3 linked regions of the Coturnix japonica genome follow. Each later gene encodes a partner of the first gene's protein in a complex. Links are inferred from orthologs where the notes say so. Each region holds a gene or a part of one and is shown in the gene's direction. Other genes may lie near its edges.

Region 1 (4,398 bases):
CATGAATCACTGACGTGTAAGTTTGAGTGTTGTTTCCATGAAGCATTTCCCTGTGCTTCCTATTTGAAAGGCTTTGTTTATTAAGGCTGTGAAGCAGGGATTTCTCCAGTAGATGGAGTGTGACCTACGTGGAGCTGCAATCGTTACCTGGTTTCCCGCCCCGCTGACTCTTACCCAGTGGGTCAGTGCGTACAATGCACTGATTTCTTGCTTCACTGTTTCTGTCTTCCAAGCTGTGATTTGTATCTGTAACGCTGAGGAGATACCGAAGGCAGGAGACCACTTAAAAACTCAAGCTGACAGTGAATTCTTCAGTATCCATGTGTTTGTTGTAGGGTTTATGGAGGTGGAACATGAGTAGATCTTTTCAGACTAGTGATCCTTTCCTTATTGTTTTTTATTTTTAAATAAAGATTCACAAATGTGGTACAAAAAGATGATCTTAACAGCTTTTGCTTTAAACTTACATCTTCTCTTGGCATGATTTATGTCTGCATCCTGGTATACGGCCTGGAAATTCAACCAAAGTCTGTTCCTTTGATATAGTGATTATGAAGTTGCTACTAGAGGCAGGTCTTACGTTAATGAGAGCTTCATGTGAGGATATGTAATGATCGTGGAGAAAACTACAAGTAGTTAGAATAAATTAGAGTTGTCTGTTTCCAACTTCTTCACCCTCTTGTTCTCAGCAGTGAAGAAGATGATGACTTTCAATACGCAGATCATGACTATGAAGTCTCACAGCAAAGAAGCTTGAAGAAGATATGTAACAGGGTGAAATGGACACGTGATGAGGTGATTTTTGTTTTTATTTTTATTTTTTTTAATGCATTTCCTTACTATTTTATGTTGGTCAAGTATTGAAATGTGTTTTTCTTTAGTATTGGGGTAGCTTGTAATACTTATTGGCTGAGATTGTCTTAACAGGATGAGAAGCTAAAGAAGCTGGTGGAACAAAATGGTACGGACGATTGGGCTTTCATCGCTAGTCATCTACAAGTAAGTTGAAATTTCGTTTCACTTAAGTTCCTTCTGATTTTTTCTACTTTGATCTTATGTTTTAGTTTGGAATTGAGATGAAACAAACCAGAAAGCCTACTGTATATGTTTATGTATATGTAAAGGATGCTTGTAATGTGGGCTTGAATTCTTGCTCAGACTTCAGGAAACTTGGGGCTCAGGTGGACCTGAATGATGAACTGAAATGACTTTAAGTCATCAATTTAAAAAAGTATATGCATTTTTTCATTTGAATCCACACTTGGTATTTGCTTTTGTTATAGAACGTATTCTGATTTTACATGGGTTGTTTCCCTTGTGGTGATTGCATCTACAGTTCACTATTTGCTTGTGAAGCGGGTAGGAAAGTGGATTGCACCTGAAAGATTGTTTCAAAGGAGCAGGATTGATTCCCTAGCACTTTAAGAAATGGTATTTGTATGTTTCTGTTTTTATTTTTCATTGCTGTTGTTACAGGGACATCAGCTTCCCTATTAAATGTAGATCTCTCCACTCAGTGATATCTTTGGTTGCTACTAATGGAACCTTAGCACATTTCTTGAAAGTTTACTATTATAATTTTTTTAATGTTCTGTTCTGGCAGACAACTGGAATGAGTGAAGGTGCTGTCAATTCAATTGCTAAATGACTCATCAGCTGTATGAGCTGCAGTGGTAGAAAAAGCTTGCAACAAAACAAACGATGGTTCTTTCTGTTCTGATTAAATGTTGTGGAAAAATATAAAAACATGGTTAGAATTTATGAAGGCTGAAATCACTACCAACAAGTGGTACAGAGTATTTGGATGTTAGAAATCTAAAAATTAAAACTCTGTTTCTGGTTCCTGTAATACTGAGTGGGATGATATGGTTGAAGACAAATGCTTCTTGAGACAGGCAGCTGTTGTTCAGCTGTGCGCAAGTGAGGTTGATAAAAGATTCCTCAGCTATCGTGGGAAACATACACAGAGGATCTGACTGCCCATGATTGAGGCTGGATCGGCTGGTCTGAGCCCCCTGCTCAAGCACAGTCATATGGGGCAAGTCCTGGGCAGCCAGCCCTGATTGACTGTATCCAGTCAGGTCTTAAATATCTCCATGGATAGAGACTCTACAGCCTCTCCAGGCAACCTGTTGCTGTATTCAAATTACAAAGCCAAATAATAGGGATTGGCTCGAGTAGCACTTTGTTACTGACGCTCTTTTGCTAGGAAGACCAACTGAATTACCAGCGTATTTTTAGAACTGTTTCATTTTTGGTCTGGGCACAAATAAACCTTCCTTTCTATTCTGCCCAAAAAAAGAACGCTGAAAGGTGACTCTCAAGGGGGAGAAAATGCAGCCTGTGTTTGTTCTCCCTCAATTTACTGTGGCTAAAGTGGATGACCTGAAATGACTTTGTTTTATCTCACCTTGTTTTATCTCTTACTTCTCTACTCCAAATGTCATGATTTCAGAAACTGAAGGTAAGAATATTACAAGGCTCCAGCTTCAAAATTTTTCTCCCACTGAAAATGGGAACAACTGGCATCTACTGGAAGTCTATATTTTACAGCTCATCTTTGCTGGCTAATTATGTGTTTATAATAATTAATTCCAGCGCGCTTTTAAACCCACAATGTCTATTTGTGATTAACTTGAAATTATGATGGTAATTTTAGATATAATGGTGCCTTTTGTGGTCTTGCAAACTGCCTCTTGTTTAACTTTTTGTTAGCATGGTAATGCTTTGAAATCAGTACTTGCTATCCAGCAGCTTGCACTGAAGACAGCAAATTACTGTGTCCTGACATCAGGAAAGGCATGCTACTTCGCTGTACTGGATCAAGGTCTCATCTGTATATTTGTAGGGATCTGGCCAATCTCCTGGTAATCCCAATTTCTCGTCCAGGTGCTTTGTAGGAGGTGAAGTGAAAGCTTCTCTTTCATAACCGGGAACAATATTTCAAAAGATCTTTAGTGAAGCTACAGAAAAGCACCATCTGTCCTGATCAGAAAAAGCCATGTTGTTTAATTAGTGTTAGCTAAACTTGATATAAACCTCTTTTCCTTAGAGCTGTAGTGAAAAACTGAGAATGCATACATTTGAGGCTTAGGAAAATATTTTGTTGAAAGAAAAAGTATTTCTTTGATCAATAGTCTATATGTGGAAAGAAACATTAATGTCAAAAGCATGTAAATTGCTTAAAGGTCAGAAAAGGTGGGGAGTAATGAGGATGAAATAACAAAGTTCTTCCTTAGAGGCAATTAAGTTGTTAACTCAATGATCAAATAAGACCATTGTAATCAGATTAGAATTTTGTGTAAAGTTGCTTTTTTATTCTTTTTTTTTTCCAGAAGTGTTCTTGCAAGGAAGAAATAATAGGGGAGAACTTTAAAAATAAAACTTAAATTTAATAGTGTACCAACTGCATTGGTCTTTTATTTCAGAATCGTTCAGATTTTCAGTGCCAGCATCGATGGCAGAAGGTACTAAACCCAGAATTGATTAAGGGTCCTTGGACTAAAGAAGAAGATCAGAGGGTAATGAAAACTAATTGATACTGTACTCCTTTACTGTAATAAAGCTAACATATGGCTGCTAGGAGTGACTACCTCTTTCTTAGGCTTCAACCCCACATGTGATGTCTCATACATTGTGTGACATACAGAATTACATTGCACTACACTGTTTGTGAGGGAAAAAAAAATGAAGCTGCTCTTAATCAGATGGAGTGTCTGGTATACTAAAGTGTTTTGTTCAGATTGCTGTGCAGAAGTGATCTCTTTATGGCATCAAAGGTCTCATTTACAACTTCTGTTTCTGAAACCCACCAAACTTAAAGGGACTGGGGCTGAGAGAAATTATTTCATGCTCTGCTATTAAAGAAGCTAATAAAAGCTCATTGGTTTCCTTTTCCACACTTCTGTTAATCTACTACACTGCAGCTTCTCGCCTGCAAAACCCAGACTCCCCGTAGGGAGATGCACTTTCAGCTTTCACATACTGTATTTTAAATTGACTGCTTATTCCCACTGTTTAAAACTAGTATTTGTCAAATTCTGAATATGACCTGCCTAACCCATCACTTAACAGTTTTCATCAGTCTTTTAAAGAAAAATTTCAAAGGTAATTTAAAACCAAACAACACAACCTAAAGACTATAGGAAGGGGTTGGGGAGTAAGATTTTATTTTATTTTTTAAACTGTCTACTTCCTTAGGCCTTATGTCTTATCAAATTGACTATTACAATCCTTTTCTAAAATGGGACTTCTTTTCGGGGGTGGAGGGGTAGGAAAAGTTAGGATCTGAAGTTATAACACACTTCCATCTGTGTTCCAGGTTATTGAATTAGTTCAAAAGTATGGTCCAAAGCGTTGGTCTCTAATTGCAAAACACCTGAAAGGAAGAATAGGCAA
Region 2 (4,859 bases), on another chromosome or scaffold:
CTGCTTCAGTCTTTTGTGGTCTATGTAGCAAGATCCTTCAGCTAGTGCCATGTACTCGGGCTCAGGGAGCAGCTGGGACTCACCATTTGAACAGCAGCCTTGTGAAAATAAGGTAAGAACCATTTCTTGCCAGTCAGTGGGGCATGAAATAAGGATAGGTTTTTTAAACGTTCTTTTTGTTGTGTTTTTTCTCTCTTACCGTTCCAGACCCAGAGGTACAGGCAAAGATGTCGCTTCCTCTTCAGACAAACTGCAGGTCGGAGTATGTCAACCCAGAGGTTGGGCCACATTTTAGTTTGAGGTTTTACAGCGAGACGGACAAGTTGAGCTCATTCTTCAGGAGAAATGTGGGCTGTGGGGGTTATGGGTGTGTGTTGATATTACAGCATGGGTTGTGGGCTCACAAAGCATTGAAATGAGCAAACAGTGCAAAGTAACGTGTTATGAAAAGGAAAAGGGGAGATGATCTGGAAAGTATCAACCAGATGGGGAACACGGTGTTGTGCTGAGCCACCAACCAGAGAGCAGCGTCAGAGCTTCCGAAGTGTGGGTCTTACTGCAGGAAATCACTGACTCCCTGCAGAGCTAAGGAACCTGTTACAGCAGTGTTCAGTGTGGATCTCCTTCTGAGACTGAGTTTGGGCTGTGTCTAAGTTCTGAGGAGTAACAGGTTGGTTTAGAACCATGCACAAGTGGTGCTTACTGCAAACTGACCATTTCAGCATCTCCAAGCTGAGCAGTGTGTGCATACAAAGGCAGCTCGTTCTGCAGGCACTGAAAGCCAATGCCAGCTACAGCAGTCACCGTCCATCTCCTTTCCACAATGGTTAAATGCCTTTTTCTTGTAATCACAGCATCTGACATAACTTTGTAAGCACTGCATAAAAATAACCAAATGAACTAGAAAGAAGTTTTAAAGACACACATGACTTTTTATTGAGGCAGTATTTGAGTTCAGATCTGGGTTTAGCACATGGAACTTAGGAGGACTGCAGGAAACCAGGCACTCTGCCTGGCTTCTGTTCTGCTGCCTTCCTTTCCCGCAGCACGGCCTGCTGCGTTGCACGGCCTGCTGTGTTGACTGTGAGCTGCTTGGGGCCTTGGCAGCTATGTGAGGGAATGCTCCATTTTGCATATGGTTTATTAATGCTTTCGTTTAAGCTTCTTACGTAACTGCAGGTATTGATAAAGGTCTTGTTACGTGTGACTGTTTCGTAGGGAATGATAAAGAACAGAAAGCGCACGGTCAGCACATTCCTGGGCCTGTGATTAATAACCGCCTGTGAGCCGTCCCACGGCAATAACCATCCGGCTCTCGCTCCTTAGCTCAGGACCCTGTTCTGGTGCCGATGGCTGTTCCCTGCCGTCCCTGTCCATCAGTAACACCCAGCTGTGCTGTGTTTCCCTGCACTCCGTTCCGCTCCCCGCCCCGCTCGCTCCGTCCCGTTCCCGCCGTGTCGCGGCTCCACACGCATCTGAGGCGCCGCCTGGGAAGAGGCGCCCCGCCCTTCCGCCCCGCCCCCTCTCGCAGCGGCCTCCTCGGATTGGCTGGCGGCGTGTGTACACACACCAGGCGCGGCCAATGGTGCGCCGAGGGCGCCCGACCTCGCGCGAGGCGGCGGCCAATGGGAGCGGCCGGCCGGCAGACGCCGCCAAGCTTGTGCGGGGGAGAAGGAGCCGGGCAGAGCGCGGCGGGATCGGGCCGGAGCAGCCGCGCAGCGATCGCGGCGCCACGGAGCGGGACTCGCGGCCTGTCCCTGCCGGGCCGAGCTGCGGGGCTCCTCGCCAGGCGGCGGCGTGTGGAGCGGAACCGCGGCCGGTAAGTGAGCGGACGGCGCGTCTCGGCGCCTCAGCGTCGCCGCCCGGGTCCGGTGGCGCTGCCGCGTTCGTTCCCTTCTCCCGCCCGGGCCTGAGAGACACGCGTCGGGATCCCGCCGGGACAGCAGCGCCTTCATTCGGGCCGGGGATTGCGCTTCAAACGCGCCTCGAGAAGGACAGGGCCTGCACCGCACCACGGCCTGGGTGTGACTGCGTGAGGCGGGGTGTGTGAGTGTGTGTGTGTGTGTGTGTCTGTGCCGGTGCGGCCGCTGACCTGACACCTGCGTTGGCCGCGCGCTCTCCCGGCTGTGTTTGGGGCTCCGCCGGTACGTGACACGGCGCAGGGTGCCGCGGGGCCTCTCGGTGACGGGCCGGTGTGAGCGGCCGGGCCGCGGTGCCGATGGCGGCGGGGCGGAGTGGGGGGGTTGTTGTGGGGGGTCGTTGTGGTGCGCGCGGTGCCCGGGGACGCGCCGAGGCCGCCACGACAAAAGTTGGAAGCGCCGCTCGCCGCGCCCCGCCGGATCAGGGCTGAGGGCTGAGGGCTCAGGGCCTGCCCTGCACGCCGTAGGCCGCACGGGCTTCAAGGCGGAGGCGAATGGCGGGGTGAGTGCGGCGGATCGGATCCGGGTGTGCAGACAAAGGGAAGAAAACAGCTCGTAAGGGAGCTAACTCCGAACGGGGGAGAAAACCGCAGCGCGGGGCTGGCAACGGGCTGCGGAGCGCCGTGCTGTGCCGTGCATTACTGTGCTGTGTATTGCTGTGCTGTGCCGTGCCGTGCATTGCTGTGCCGTGCATTGCTGTGCCGTGCATTGCTGTGCCGTGCATTGCTGTGCCGTGCATTGCTGTGCCGTGCATTACTGTGCTGTGTATTGCTGTGCTGTGCCGTGCCGTGCATTGCTGTGCCGTGCATTGCTGTGCCGTGCATTACTGTGCTGTGTATTGCTGTGCTGTGCCGTGCCGTGCCGTGCTGTGCCGTGCCGTGCCGTGCATTGCTGCGTCGTGCATTGCTGTGCCGTGCCGTGCATTGCTGCGTCGTGCATTGCTGTGCTTTGCCGTTCCGTTCCGTTCCGTGCCGCCCTCACGTGCTGCTCCGCTCCTTGTGCCTCCTGCCCCGCCGTGCTGTGAGCGGACACAAAGCGGGTGGTCGCGTCTGTGCGGAGCGGCGCCCACTGACTTGCTCACTCTTCAACACGGCGGGTGGGAAATTCAGATGCGATGGTTACGCGACCGGTGTTTTTATTTTGGAAATGGGTTCGGTTATTTTCACGGGTCTTTGTTAATATTCCTCGCTGTTGGTTTCTTTCAGCTGCACAGTTGTACTGTAAGGCAGTAGAAATGAGGTCAGAACCAGAGCTGCTTTTGTGGTACTGTACACATCTACTGCACACATCTCGACTAGATGTGATCTTGTATTAAAAAAAAGCCAGAACATATACATAGAGAGAGGCAGAGACTGTATAAATTGATGCTACTAGAAGAGAAACGAGTAACAGCTTTGCCATTTCTTTGCCTGCATTAAGGCTTGTTTTCCTGATTGTAGCACTTTTTACCTTGTCCATGAGTGCAGTGATGTGCTCACACGGGGCAGACCCGTGGCTGCTGCTGGAGCACAGAGGTGGAACAGCATCTCGGGACGTTTTTGCTGGTGCTCTGTATTGCATGGAGGCATTTTTGTACATAGCCAAATTCTGCATTTTGAGAGCCTGTGTTTGCAGTAACCTGCTGGGCACCTGATGCAGCACTTCAAAGAAACGTGGAAGCTTAAGTTCACGTCGCAGAAATGAACATACATCAAATAAATGGTGAGGAGAGGGAGAAAAAGCATAAATTCTTGTTGGGAAATGGTTGTGCAGTGAGCCTGGTGCCTCTGGAAGAGCTAAGAGTAATGGCTCTGAGAATGGTTCAGTTCTGTACAGAGGAAAAGGTGGTTAATTGTTAGATATTGGTAGGTTTACCTCATGGCTGTGTGTTAGACTGATCACATTTTACAGACAAGCTGTTGGGGCTTCTTGTAACCGCTTCCTGCTTGCACAGAAATCACTGTGCTAACAGAACCAAAAGAAGCTGTTTGACCTGCGTGAGGTTGATAGAATTAGCGTTGCTGAAATCATACGGCACTGATGGGAAGGCCGCTGTTCCTCTAGTGGGTTCCAGTGGGTCGGCTCACTTCACAGAGTGGTGAGGCTGTGCCTTGTGTGCAGCAGCTCAGCACAGCTCTGCCATGTGAAGGAGCAGGCTGAGCAGCACAGCAGGGCTGTTCCTGCTGCAGGAGGACTCCTGGTTTGTTCCTGTTCTTGTGTGTATTGGACAGTATTGCAGGAGCCTCCTATACATCTGGAGCTGCCTGTGAGCAACCACCAAGTGAAGATAAGGCTTTGTATTTTAGCACCTTCCACTGGGTTTAGCAAGAAGTAGGAACTGTGGTTCCAGCTTTCCATCCCCTTCAGGAACACGTGATGTTGGTCATTTGAAGTCAGCAAAACTCGCTGTGCGTTGGGGAGAGCATGGTGCTCATCTCTGAAATGAGCTGACCGGGTCAGGGGAGGGAAACTGCAGCCCGTACCGGGCAGGTTCAGTAAGCTGAGGTTTCTTTCTTTGTGTGCTTTTTCTGCACATACTTGGAGGTGTAACGAGTAAGAATTTCTCATTTACTTTTCCAATTGTATTCGTAGGACACAACTACTAATGAACCAACAGCGGGTTGTAAAATAGGGAAAATAAGCTGGCAGTTGTCTGGCCTGGTGCAGGAAATGTGCTTGTGGAGGTGGTTGTGTGTACAGAACCAAAAAGCCACTGGAGCCAATGAGACAGGCTCACAATTGACAGGTGTTCAGAGGAGAGCAATGCACAGAACCAGTGTGCATAGGACATGGAAACCAATGGTGTGAATGTCTGTTGTGGGGCTTGAAGAACTCAGCACATGCTTCTGTATGCTTGGAAGCAGTGCAGAAAGGAGCAGATACAGCAGTGGAATGTTGGTTTTACAACAGCTGCCTGTTCTGATTCTTTGTCTTTTTGTAGCATCCATTGTTAGAATGAGA
Region 3 (5,140 bases), on another chromosome or scaffold:
GGAAAGAAAAGAACTGTATCAAAACTCAGTTTATTCCAGCTGTCCTTGCCAACCATTAAGCAGTCTTCACACATCACACACCTCATACTTCTATTCTAAAAGGAGCTATACTTTTCAGAAGGAAAACAGAAAAGAGACTCCTCTCCTAGTGCACACTGAGAGGCCTGGACCATAGCTGGAATTCTATGCATTTTGTAGTTCTGTAAATCTTCAGTCTACACATCTCAGATCAGGCACTCAGCAAACTGTAAATGAAGCACTGTTTCCCGAGTGGGAATTTCAGAGGCTTGTCTGACATAATTTGCAGTTTGATCAGGACTTCATGTTCAGCTGGCATCAAACCATATCAGGTTGCATATATGCAGGATGACAGCTGAAATTTTGACATCACATTCACAGAGCCTTTCTATGTGAAAAATAGTTAAGAAAAGTCTTAAGCTCCAACTCTAAGCTTTCTCCAGAAGCACACATACTTCCCCCTTTCATCGAGTGATTCAAGGAAATCACAGCATCCTCTTGCACACCGATTGTGGGTATATGAGCAGAAGCCATTTCACTTACAGGATTGTGGATATCAATCCATTCTGTGGTTTTGGACTCGACAAACTTCCCATCGATGAACAGTTTAGTTGTTGGCTGTGGAGGACAGCACAGTGAGTGATCTTTCCCTGAAAGTGCACACATAACAATGTGCCCTGTTATGTGCAGGCTTTTGCTATTTCCCACTGTACTCCATCATTTTTTTCCCCTTGATTTAGGCTAAAATTGTCAAAACCCCGTCTAAAAACTATTACAGAAGATACACATTGATAGAATCATGTTCAGAACTATTTTAATCTACTCAGTCACTACAATTGCTAAGTCATAAAAACCCTGCAGTTCACAGACATATTTAAAAGAAACCAGTTAATAATTCACTTGGTAAGAATTCTGCCCATTAGTTAAGGAGTTCAGGTAAGTATGGAGAAGAAAAAGCAGGGGTAGAAGATGCAGTTAGTGCTGCAACATGCAGGAAGAACTGGGGCCATATAAGTGAAGAGATTGGAATATAGTGCCAAAGGCTTTGCTGAAGTCTAGGTAGACTGTGCCAACAGCCTTTCCCTCATCCACCGGGCAGTTCACCTGGTGAGGGCAGGGATGCTAATGCTGCTGTGATGGTGGGAGAGGGATCAAAGGACGAATCAGGAAAATAAATGGGGCTGAGCCGGACAGGTCACGGCTGCGAAGAGTGTAATGGATAAGCGAGGCCTCGGCTTGTGAAGGAACGCGGCGGTGGGTTAAAATAAGAATAAGACATGACAAGTGCTGATGTGGCTGGCGTTACGGCGGGACGAGCCGTGCCGCGGGCTGCACTCGGGATAACACCATCTTCAGAACTGAAGGGAGAGCAGGAAATCCGAGCTGCTCCTCGGCCCGGCGGAGCCACCGCCGCGGGCCCCTCCAGCCCAACAGCAAACAGAGCTGCCCGGCCCCACTCACCACGGAGGAGGAGGAGACGGCGGCCGAAGCGATCCAGGGAGCCCCGGCTGTCCGCGGCAGCTGGATGTGGACACAGAGCAGCCCGGTTACACGGTGCTCCCCTCCTCCTCCACACCCCCCACCTCCTCCCCACCGCCCCCCGAGGTGCCACCCGCGGCCCCTCCCGCAGCGCTGTGTCCGTGTGCCGCCTCACCCTGAGCACCACGCGCCGCCCGCCCCAAGCGCCACGAGCCACCGCCGCCATCCCGGCCGAGGGTCACAGCGCTCGGACCCCGAGCGGAGCCCCCAGCACAGGGACCCGCCCCCGCCCGCTCATTGGCCAGACGAGCGCCCCCCCCGCCCGCTGTACGCCCCCCCCGAGGGGGCCTTGCCGGCCGCCAGCCAATCGCTGCCAGGGAGAGCGTCGCCCCGCCCCTTTCCCGCCACCGCCCCCCCATCCGGGGCAGCGATTGGCCACGAGCACTAAGGCGCTCGGGCTCTGTTGTCACGTGGGTGGATTCCCGCGGGCTGTGGGTTTAGGTCACGTGACGCAGGCAAGATGGCGGCTCCCGGTGACGGTAAGGCGCGCGAATGGGGTCATCGTCACCCTGCGGTACGGTCTGAGCGGGCGCCGCTTCACCTCCGTTCTACTCCCTGTGCTGTAGGTGCCGATCTGGAAGCCTCTCTGCTGAGCTTCGAGAAGCTCGACCGGGCTTCTCCGGACCTGTGGCCTGAGCAGTGTGAGTGAGTGCGGCGGGCCCGTGTCGCTGGGGTGATGGCGGGGCTGCCGGGCCGGCCCCGCGCTCACCCGGCGCTGTTCGGTTCTCTCTTGCAGTGCCCGGCGTCGCCGAGTTCGCCGCCTCCTTCAAAAGCGTAAGATGCCAACACCACGGCACTGCGGGTCATACAGGCACTGCGGGAGGGACGAGCTGCGCAGGAACGCGCTGCTCTAAGCCCTGGGGGTGCTGCTCTTACTGCTGGCTTTGGCTGTGACTTGCAGTAACACCCAACTCGTCCAGGAAGAGCTTTCTAGGCATTAGAGTAGCCCTGTAGGGTGCCTGGAGCCATCGCGTTTATTCTTTCAGTGTAACTGGTTGTAAATAGGTGACGGAGCACTGGAACAGGCTGCACAGGGAGGTGGTGGAGTCTCCTTCTTTGGAGATATTCAAGACCCGCCTGGACACCTACCTGTGTGACATGGTGTAGGGAGCCTGCTTTGGCAGGGGGGTTGGACTCGATGATCTCTAGAGGTCCCTTCCAACCCCTACAATTCTGTGTGTGTAAATGCTATATCAGGCTTTGTATGCAGCTAAAAATGTACTTCTCTGAGAATGTTTTGCTTTTTTTTCTTCCTTTCTTTTTGTTCTTTTTCTTTTTCCTCCCCCCCAAACCAGCCTATTACAAGCTCGCCTCCCAAATGGATGGCTGAACTGGAGAATGATGATATCGATATGTTAAAGGGTGAGTATGGGCTCCATGGGCACTGAGGCTGTCTGCGGGTGGGAATTCAGTGCCTACTAAAAAGATGAGCTCAGAGACCTTCTGAAGCCTTGTGGAAAGGAAGGGATGGGGGATGCTCCTCTTAATCTGCAGACCATCTTAACCTGCAGAACATCTCCAGTTGAATGATTCTGCTTAGGAGTCTTTGTCTTGTCAATTGCCTCTATCTTTAGTTGGTCCCACAAGAATATATACTGATAACAAAAATGCTGTTGTTCTCCTTGTTACTGCTTTTTGAAGCAGTAAATCCCTGCTGTTTATTTTTTCTTCATTTTTTTTGATTGCTTTGGAACAGTTAGAATGTCTTGCTGGTTATTATGAGTTGTGAGAGCTGAAGAACATATGCTGTACACTGTAAACCGATACTGTTCAAAGTATAACTTGAATGCTCTGTGAAGCGATAAACATAAGCTGCCACTAGAGGGCTACAGTGTTAAAAATCACGCTTTTTCCTTTTAGAGCTGGGAAGCCTCACTACAGCCAACCTGATGGAAAAGGTTCGTGGCCTGCAGAATTTGGCATATCAGCTGGGACTGGATGAATGTGAGTTCTGTGCACAGATGTGATGACTGTATTATGAATCTTGCCACTGAAGTGTGTGTTTATGTTGCACTTACAGTCAGAAAAGTACGTTTGCTGAAGTGGGGAATGTCACACAATTATGACAGTGCAATAGAGAATTTTCTGAAGAAAAAAAGAGTGCTGCTCTAAGCAAGTCTATCATGGATGCAGTGGAGCCTAATAGAGCACATTTAAAAGAATTTCTTATTTTAGGTCTTGTTTTCTGTTTTGAATGCTAAGGTCCAGTGTTTTCTAGTGGCCCATCAATTTCTGACTTAACTTTGGCTTAGGTAAATCACTCAGTTTGCTTCATTTACCGCTTAGGTGCTAACACTCTGTCACAGAGTATCTGTGCCACCACTTCTGTGACTGTGCGTTTGTGTACTGCCTACAGAGTGAAAATGTAACTGGTGTGCAGGATTCTGTTAGCCATTAGTGCTCTTGTAACTTTGGGCTTCTGCAGTTATTTATTTTCCATAGTCAGCTATAGCAGGAGGTGCTGTCACTGCATTCTAAAGTTGACCTTCATCCTGCTTACCAACAACCAATTTATGTCAGTGCCTTTTTTGAAGGGGGGTGGGGGTGGGAGTGGGGGTGGGGATGGGGGGAAGATGCGTTTTTTTTATTGTCATTGCATATAGGATTTTGTTGTTAATGTGCTGATCCGGCTTTGAAGATTCCAAAGGGATTGTGCTTCCTTTAAACAGTATCTGTGTGTACTGATGCATTTAACTTTTACTGCTTTATTTTGCTCTGTCTTAGACTTCAGTTTTAGCAAACTCTTGAGCTTTACATGAGGCTTTGAAAATTTTTAGGCTCAAAGATTTTTTTCAGCTTTATTTCAGTGGGTAACAAAAAGCAGTTGAACTTTGAAGTCTCGTGATTGTGAGCCTGGAATACATATTTCTTATCAATAGATCATTAAGCCTGTTTGAACACTCTCTCCATAGGTAGAAATTTACTTTCAGTGCCAACATCTACAAGGATTGAATAAAGCTTTTAGTGGAGTAGAAGTTATACTTTAACAATGGAAATCTTAATCAAATAATAAGATTGGCTGGTGGTTTGCTTTCTCGATTTATATAACGTCTCACTGTATTTGCAATTTATTTTCACCAAAGTCTATCTCTGTAACACATTGAGTGCTTTGTGTGTCATGACGTATACATGTATGTTAGGAAATCTTCCATATATAATTAAATGCTGAGTTTGACATGGGCTCTCAGCACTGTTTCTTCCAATACTGTCTTTTTCTCTTTGCAGACCTAGGTTATTAAGAGAACAAGAAGAAAAATCCCAAAGATCTGCTCATTAATATTAAAGAGCTTGTGCTTTTGTTTCAGTGGTATATAATTTGATTACATCTTTTTGTATTGAAACACAGTATTCTATATTTTACATAGTTGATAATCAAAACTGCTTATCAAAAACAGAATTAAGAAACCTTGCTGACCACCCTCCTCTAGATGGCATCATGAAGCTTCTGATAGAGGTCTTGATACTTTTAATTTTGTGCAGTTTGTCCTGATTTGTCTCAAGAGTTATTTTGACGCTTCTTGTGTTCTAAATTTGCACTGTCCTTTTGACACTATTTTCTTGTTTCCTCTGTATTGTGTGAAAA

The links. The genes of interacting proteins can lie anywhere in the genome.
Region 2: MYBL1 (region 1) and TFDP2 share a complex: the UniProt entries of both Homo sapiens proteins name them as parts of the DREAM complex. The link is inferred for Coturnix japonica from reciprocal best matches to the Homo sapiens genes MYBL1 and TFDP2.
Region 3: MYBL1 (region 1) and LIN52 share a complex: the UniProt entries of both Homo sapiens proteins name them as parts of the DREAM complex. The link is inferred for Coturnix japonica from reciprocal best matches to the Homo sapiens genes MYBL1 and LIN52.

Annotation. Positions count from the first base shown.
Region 1 is NC_029517.1:104,292,742-104,297,139, reverse strand, and holds part of MYBL1 (myb-related protein A), read left to right. Parts: intron 1-689; coding exon 690-795; intron 796-927; coding exon 928-999; intron 1,000-3,428; coding exon 3,429-3,521; intron 3,522-4,321; coding exon 4,322-4,398. UniProt on the Homo sapiens protein: Transcription factor that specifically recognizes the sequence 5'-YAAC[GT]G-3'.
Region 2 is NC_029524.1:8,785,339-8,790,197, reverse strand, and holds the start of TFDP2 (transcription factor Dp-2), read left to right. Parts: upstream 1-1,644; 5' UTR 1,645-1,819; intron 1,820-4,859. UniProt on the Homo sapiens protein: Can stimulate E2F-dependent transcription.
Region 3 is NC_029520.1:34,236,329-34,241,468, forward strand, and holds the start of LIN52 (protein lin-52 homolog), read left to right. Parts: upstream 1-1,925; 5' UTR 1,926-2,017; coding exon 2,018-2,036; intron 2,037-2,123; coding exon 2,124-2,198; intron 2,199-2,293; coding exon 2,294-2,331; intron 2,332-2,852; coding exon 2,853-2,919; intron 2,920-3,417; coding exon 3,418-3,501; intron 3,502-4,782; coding exon of another isoform or gene 4,783-4,796; exon of another isoform or gene 4,797-5,140. Other genes in the region: ALDH6A1 (methylmalonate-semialdehyde dehydrogenase [acylating], mitochondrial), read right to left, coding at 562-636, 1,480-1,539, 1,673-1,723.